Linked DNA regions of Medicago truncatula. The protein of the gene in region 1 interacts with the protein of each later gene in a pairwise test. Links are inferred from orthologs where the notes say so. Each region holds a gene or a part of one and is shown in the gene's direction. Other genes may lie near its edges.

The links. The genes of interacting proteins can lie anywhere in the genome.
Region 2: the proteins of protein GIGANTEA (region 1) and probable UDP-N-acetylglucosamine--peptide N-acetylglucosaminyltransferase SPINDLY interact in binary tests that used the Arabidopsis thaliana proteins (3 or more experiments, as listed by UniProt). The link is inferred for Medicago truncatula from reciprocal best matches to the Arabidopsis thaliana genes GI and SPY.

Annotation. Positions count from the first base shown.
Region 1 is NC_053042.1:47,811,180-47,814,938, forward strand, and holds the start of protein GIGANTEA, read left to right. Parts: upstream 1-1,089; 5' UTR 1,090-1,288; intron 1,289-1,811; 5' UTR 1,812-1,912; coding exon 1,913-2,014; intron 2,015-3,282; coding exon of another isoform or gene 3,283-3,284; coding exon 3,285-3,356; intron 3,357-3,474; coding exon 3,475-3,529; exon of another isoform or gene 3,530-3,549; intron 3,550-3,639; coding exon 3,640-3,759. UniProt on the Arabidopsis thaliana protein: Involved in regulation of circadian rhythm and photoperiodic flowering. May play a role in maintenance of circadian amplitude and period length. Is involved in phytochrome B signaling. Stabilizes ADO3 and the circadian photoreceptor ADO1/ZTL.
Region 2 is NC_053042.1:29,880,072-29,883,830, reverse strand, and holds the start of probable UDP-N-acetylglucosamine--peptide N-acetylglucosaminyltransferase SPINDLY, read left to right. Parts: upstream 1-1,501; 5' UTR 1,502-1,805; exon of another isoform or gene 1,806-1,815; intron 1,816-2,402; exon of another isoform or gene 2,403-2,407; 5' UTR 2,408-2,417; coding exon 2,418-2,822; intron 2,823-3,759. UniProt on the Arabidopsis thaliana protein: Probable O-linked N-acetylglucosamine transferase (OGT) involved in various processes such as gibberellin (GA) signaling pathway and circadian clock.

The DNA of each region.
Region 1 (3,759 bases):
TGATCCCTAAACAAATAAAAATTCATGAAGAATGATTGAAGACGAATAAGAAAGAAAGAACGCAACGATCGACAACAGTTTCATTTTTAAATTGGGAGAAGTAACATGAATTAGGGCATAATTTATTTTATTGTTATTTTAATTTAATATTATATTTGAATAATAAAAATATTTTTAAAATAAAAGTTAATGAATAAATAAAATTATTAATGATATGGAAATTCAATGCGACCAGACAACTGGTGCCTCATCATTAATGAATAAGGCACATCAGCAAAATTGATTCCAAAATGAGATGGAGGAGAGAAATTTTAAAAAAGATACATTTAAGTAAAAAAATTAAAATAACGACTTTAAACATCAATCATCCCCAATACACATAGAGTATAAGGAAGGTAACATAACATTCTTTTAAAGGAAGGTAACATAACAAATATATATATATATATATATATATATATATATATATATATATATATATATATATATATATATTTATTTTTTTCCTATCAATTTTTAATATTTTTTAAAATGTAAAAACACCATGTAATATAAATATTATTTAAATTTGTGCAAAAAAATAAATATATATTATTTAAATGTATAATCATATCATACCATAATTATAATAAAGTAAATTTATTTGCTGATATGATAATATATTTTTTTTTCCTTCAAAAAATGATAATATATTAAATTGTAAAAAAATGATAATATTGTTTTTTTGGTGGTGGCCGGGATTTAAACCCCGAACCTTGCATATCAATTGAACTAAGCACACGTGGCAAATGATAATATCGTTTATGTAAATTTGCAAACGTTAAATATTTATCTGAATTTCAATTCTATGTAGTAGATATAAATTCAATAAGAAGTAATATAAATATGAAAGTCTGATAGTAAAATATAGTGATGTTACTTAATATGGTTGGGACAGGGCATGCATGCATGCATGAATGATACATACATAGATATAGCACATGAGATGGCGTGGATGTCTGAGAGGAGAGGAAAATATCGCATCCACGTATGCAGTCGATCTAGGCTTCTCATTACAAGGCTGTTAAAGATCTTCTCTCTCCACTTGTTGTATTCTTCTTCTATTCTATCTATCTATCTAACATCTTCATTTCCAAACTATAAACTTACCACAACCCTCTTTCTATCATTTCTTTCCTCCTTTTGATCATTACACAATACTCTCCATTCTCACACTTACATCTTCTCATCCTATCAATTCAGAAAATTTCCAATTAGCTCTACACACAGCTCAGCTAAGCTAACCCAGGTACATATTTTTCTTTCTATTTTTTTTAACACAATTAAACCATCAGTTTTCAGGTTATGTGCTAATTTCTTATTTCAGTTTCATCAAATTTTTTACTTTAATTTCTTCAAAAAATTTCTATTATGAATCTGACTTGTTAGATATATATTTATTTTCTTAATTCTTTTTTTATTTATAAGCCTTTAAATATTTAGCTTACATATTTACTTTTTTATATTCTGTAAATTTCATTTTGCTCTGTTTACCAGGACTCTGTTTCAGATTCATCCCTATCTTCATCATTTCAATTTTTTAAATTAACATTTTTCACAGTGAAAATAAATTTAGAAATCAATAACAATTTTGTTTTAAAGTTTGCAGATTCAATCTCAACATAGCAACCTAGTAGTTATTGTAGTGAAATAGCTACAATTTTCTATGAGATGCATTTGTTTGTCTTATTCTGTCAAATGAAAAAAATTTGAATTATTATTTTTTGGTGGATGATGATGAATTGGATACTAAGATGAGTTTGGTAACACAGGATTTAATACTTGATTGGTATCATGTTTTGGATGGATTTGGGATAAAATTGCTTTTCATATATAATCAGAAGCTAAAGGATTCAAGAGTTGAAAGTTTTTGATGACTTCTTCTTCTATGGCTGCTACAAGTGAAAGGTGGATTGACCGTCTTCAATTTTCTTCATTATTCTGGCCTCCCCCACAAGATGTTCAGCAAAAAAAGGTATCATTTTAATCTCTTACCATGTTTTAGGAAAGTTATTTTCTTTACTTTTTTCATGTATATGTATTTTTTTATTAAATTTTTATGAGTTTTAATATAAAGTTTGCCTTAAGGACATGATGGGATGGAAGGATCCTAATTATTATTATTTTGTTGAGTTTGAAGATTAGAAAAAGTTTTAAATATGCATCTAATCATATTTTCACAAAATATCGCTTTGTTATATTACTTCATAAAATATCTTCACAAATATCTAATGATGAGATACGATTGGATGTATGTGTAAACACTAAAACATTTTTATAGTTAGTGTATCGTTTTTAAACTCACTCTATTTTGTTTAATGATCCAATGTTTGATAAAAATCTTTTAGAGTTTATTCCAAAAAAATCTTTTAGAGTACTAGGGAATTGAAAATTTTATATCGGTATTCTTCAAGAGGAGTAGCAGATATGGAGATGTTGTTAAAGAGACATATACATACAACGTCACACAAACATATGTAAATAATACATGATGATGTGATGTGATATTTCAGAATCTATGCATATGCTACAATCAGCAGGTCTTGGCGTTGGATGAAGATCAGACAAATACATATTTTGATTTTATCAAATTGGATTTAAAATACAACACAGGATATGAACTGTCTGATCTTCATTGAACAACTGAGATCTATCGACAGCAGGAATAATTTGTTTTGTAACTTTCTAGTTATGGCAATTGCAAACTTTGAAGTAAAACAAAGTGTCCCAGAAATGGGGTGATATAAGCATTGACTTTGTGGGGCCAATTTGATTACAGTTTTAGCAAACATTTACAAGAAAAGAAAAGTTGAAGTAATCTTACAATCAATTATGAATTTTCTAAATAATAGTTTCTTGCATAAGTTGAAATTAACTTTTGCACCTTAACCTTTTCAAAACACGCTGCATATAACTTCTCCATAAGCAGTCATAAACTTATAAGGACTTTTTTTATAAGTTAAGAGTCAATTACTTATCTCAGCTGATGCTTCCACTAGTTAGAGCTAATTCTGACTGAGCCGCAGTGTTTTGTCAATGTGGTTTCACACAAGTTTCCCGCGTATTGACAATCTTTTCTAAATGTATCTTGCTAGGTAGAAAGCAGCAGTGTTTTGATCATTTGTTATGCTGAAAATAATTGTTTCTTATTCCATATGAAAGCATTTTATGGCTTCTAGAATATTGGAAGCTCACTGTAACTCCATTTCATTGGTTTATATGATGTTGTTTTCTGCTTTTCCCAGGATCAAATTGCTGCATATGTTGAGTACTTGATTCAGTTTACATCAGAACAGTTTGCTGACGATATTGCTGAGGTACACTTCTATTTACTTATTAAAATTGTGATTCTTATTTTTTGTGGTGTTGTTTTTGACATGAGAGATCCAAGAGTTTTTATTGAATGTCACTCACTGTTCTGTATTACTTTGACAGTTGATCCGCAACCGTTACCCGTCGAAGGAAATTATTCTCTTTGATGACGTTTTGGGTATTTATGCTTAATCCCATGTTAGTTTAAATCATGCTTGAGTCGACAAGAATATCACTCTTTCTACTTTATGTGTGCTAACTTCTCTATGTATTTACTTGTACATCCAGCAACATTTGTCCTTCATCATCCAGAGCATGGGCATGCAGTTGTACTTCCTATTATTTCGTGTATTATCGATGGTACACTAGTCTATGATAAGACTAGTCCTCCATTTGCTTCTTTGATAT
Region 2 (3,759 bases), about 18 Mb from region 1:
GAGTGACAAAAATTCAACGACTAGAAGAACGAGAAGTCGATATAGATCAATCCAACGACACCAAATCCAAAAAATAAAAGGTGTCTCAAATGGACTTGACCATGTTACTTGAAACCTATCATGGGGAAACCCAGCAAACGAAAACTTATCACACAAGAGGTTAGAAACCGTTGAAAAGTGGCAGAATGAAGCAACTTTTACCCTTTGGGTCGGGACAAGCAGGCTGCTATTATCGTTCAAGCGAGCCTCATCGATGATGAAATACTGGAGAAGGGAAGCACACACATCTCCTGAGAGTCCAAGACCAAGTTGGCACGAAGGTGAAAAGGCCATGAATCAGAAGCCTTTATGATTAACCTAAACTAAAGACCTTGGTTTCTGTCTCGAACTCCATGAGGAGGAAAGACCAAATCCTATGTAAACAGTCATGATATAAGATATGAAGGTGGCATATTAACCAAGGAAGTCATTCATCCAGAAGGAAAAACAACATCATCAACGACGAACTCTTAAGGCCGTCAGGTGAATAATCGAAACTTCCCATAAAGGGTCACTCAAATGAACCCACGAAGGTCTAGGCGCCACCGAACCAGTAGGCTAAGAAGCCTTGGAAGTGGTATCGCCAAAAACCTCGTAGGGTCATTCAAAGCTCAGTGAGATGATGAAATCCAAAGGTACAAAGACCGACAAGACCCTCATTCTTAAAGCGAATCCCCCATGAGACTTTATCAAGCTACAATCTGATTCCCTCAGCCTATAATTTGAGGGGAAACTATTTTGAACTGGCCCTGAGGTCCAATCCGAAGCAGGCGACACCATGCGACGGACACACCATATATCCCACAAGATTATGGTCCAAACTAATAGATCCTAACCTACCTGTTCGGAATTCATGCTACAACTATCCAAGTGAAGGCTTGACAACCAAAACCCTACTTGCCCATTATATATATACCCATGCTTAACCTTGAGTTAGGTTTGACACTTCTTACCTATAATATAGCCACAATCTCTTTTTCACCCTTTACTAACTTGGGCGTCGAAGCACGTGCAGGTACACCACCCTCCTTCGGTGAAGAAGGACTTGCGGTGGATGAGTAAAGCTTAATCCCTCAATATAACAGATATCACCAGACAAACCATCTTCGTAGGTCCAACAAGATAAACATATGATTTATTAGTGAGCTCACAACAATTTGAAGTGGTCTTCAATTGGCTTGAGATATTGGTTATAGATATATTATTTTGAAATCAAACTCTAAGTCAACCTCAAATTTGAATAATTCGATCCAAATCATGATTTTCGTCCACAAGAATCAAGAGGTTTAACAAAAAAGTCAGCTATAAAAATATTATATTGTTGATATTATTAAAAAATATAATTATTTATTTATTTATTATATTTATTATTAAAAATAAATATAATTTGTTATCTCTCAAAAAATAAATAAAATTTATTACAATTTAAAATTGACAAAACTAAAATTTGATAAAAAAAACATAGCTTAAAATTTACACTTTAGTTGATTAATAATGGTGGTATGATAAAAGGGGGCGAAGTAAAGTAAAGCAAGCTAAGAAAAAGCCTGCGTTGTCACTTTGCGTCCATCCAATTCCGATGTTGTAATCAACGAAACAGTCTCAGGTAGTGTGTGGACTCATCCTCCAAACGCCGTCACCGGAGAGGAAGAAGAGCATCTCAGCCACCACCACCACCACTCTTCACCGGAGGAAAACTTCCACTCTTCCTTTCATCTTCACCTTCTCTCCACCTCCACTTCAACAACACCAACAACAACTTTCTAGAACCTTCTCGTAAGTTCCCAAACCCTAGTTTTCAATTTCATTTATTTACTTTTTTTTCCGTACTTCCTAGGGTTTTAGTTTTTCTATTTTTTTTTGGATGAATTTCATATTCATTTTTTGGTATTTTATTTTGAAAAGTGCAATGAGTGCTCTCAGGGCATTGTTTAAGTTAATAAATATAAAATTTTTGTATTGAAAATTTCGGATTTAACTTTATAAAAGTTTAAAATTTATTGTTTCGGGCGCAAAATTTATACTTTTAGCTTTATTAATTAGTGTCCTTAGAGTTCTTGTTAGCGCGACCCTTTTATTTATATGTATTGTTGTGGTTGTTTGTATTTAGTATTAATTAGTATTGGAGTTACTATGAAAATTGGATTTTTTTCGACGATTTTGGTCTCTTTGAATGTGCGAGGTGCTGTCATTATAGTTCCTGAATGTATCGAAATCGCAAACTCCCTCAAGAGACTATAATGACAACGCCTCACACATTCATCAGCCAAAATGGCTATCTTCCAGTCTTTTTGGTCATTGGCATTGTGTTGATAAGAGTGCAAGATTATAACTTTGTGAAAAATGTTTTTGTTTGTGGGTAGGAAAGTGTGATTAAGATGGCTTGGATGGAAGAAAATGATGGGAATGGAAAAGAAAAGGAGTTAGGCGGAGAGAATGGTTTTTTGAAAGTGAAAGAACCATCTGTTAGTGCTGGTGGAGATGATACTGTTTCGGGGAAAAAAAGATCTGAAGTGAAAGACGATATTTCTTTCGCCAACATTTTGCGTTCGAGGAACAAGTTTACGGACTCTCTTGCTTTGTATGAGCGTGTTTTGGAGAGTGATGGTGGAAATGTAGAGGCTCTCATTGGAAAAGGGATATGCTTGCAGATGCAGAATATGGGTAGGCTTGCTTTTGATAGTTTTTCGGAAGCTGTTAAGTTGGATCCTCAGAATGCTTGTGCTCTCACACATTGTGGCATTCTTTACAAAGAAGAAGGTCGCTTGATGGAGGCGGCTGAGGTATGTACATGCTAGATGACTAGTTTTTTCTATATAATTTATTTTTTTATATATATGATGAAATAGCATGGTATTTTTGTTTTCTAATTCCATTTGTAGATGATACAGCAGTGCTTTTGCCACATGGAAAAGTTTTCTTATTCTTATATAAACCCTGTATTTACCCGACTTAGTGGTGACTATAGATTTTATTTCTTGATTGCGTCCATCTTACATAATTTTCTAGGCTTTATATATTAGATTGAGTGAGGCATATAATACGATTCTAATGAGTATGATCGGTTTCTGATTATGCCTTGAATATGTGCTTATTAATGTAGATTGTAAAGTCTTTTTTTAACAGTAGAACACATAGGAAACTTTTTGAACAGACTGATAAAAAATAGATTGAAGTTCTGTGAATTACTTAGTAAGGGCACTTGGTGCCAGCATCCTTGATATTTATATGCATAAAAGAATCGATACATTATTACATTTTAGTTTTACAAGACAACAATAAAGAGTTGAACTATTTCCTATGAATCTAATATATTCAACTATGCATTGACTCCCATAAATCCTGGCAATACATTATTGACTGTAATATTGAAAATATGCAAGTTACATTACATAAAAACCTAATACAATCAAATCATGTGGGGTTCCCTCGTAAATCCTTGCAGTGATATATGTTTGTCCACTTAGATTTAAATGAGAAGATTCTACATATCATAGCCATCATGGTGCCTGATTGCTTGTCCCCTTGATACGAGTTCAATACAGTGTTGATTATGTTTGTCCATACTGAAATCAAGAACCTGAAATAGTCATAGTCATGATTTACATACAAGTGTAGAGAATCTTTTCCTATCCACTTCCATTCAGTTCCTTAGTACCTATGTAGCGAGCAAAGAATTTTCTTCGAGGATTTGCACTATAATATTGAAGAACAGAATGG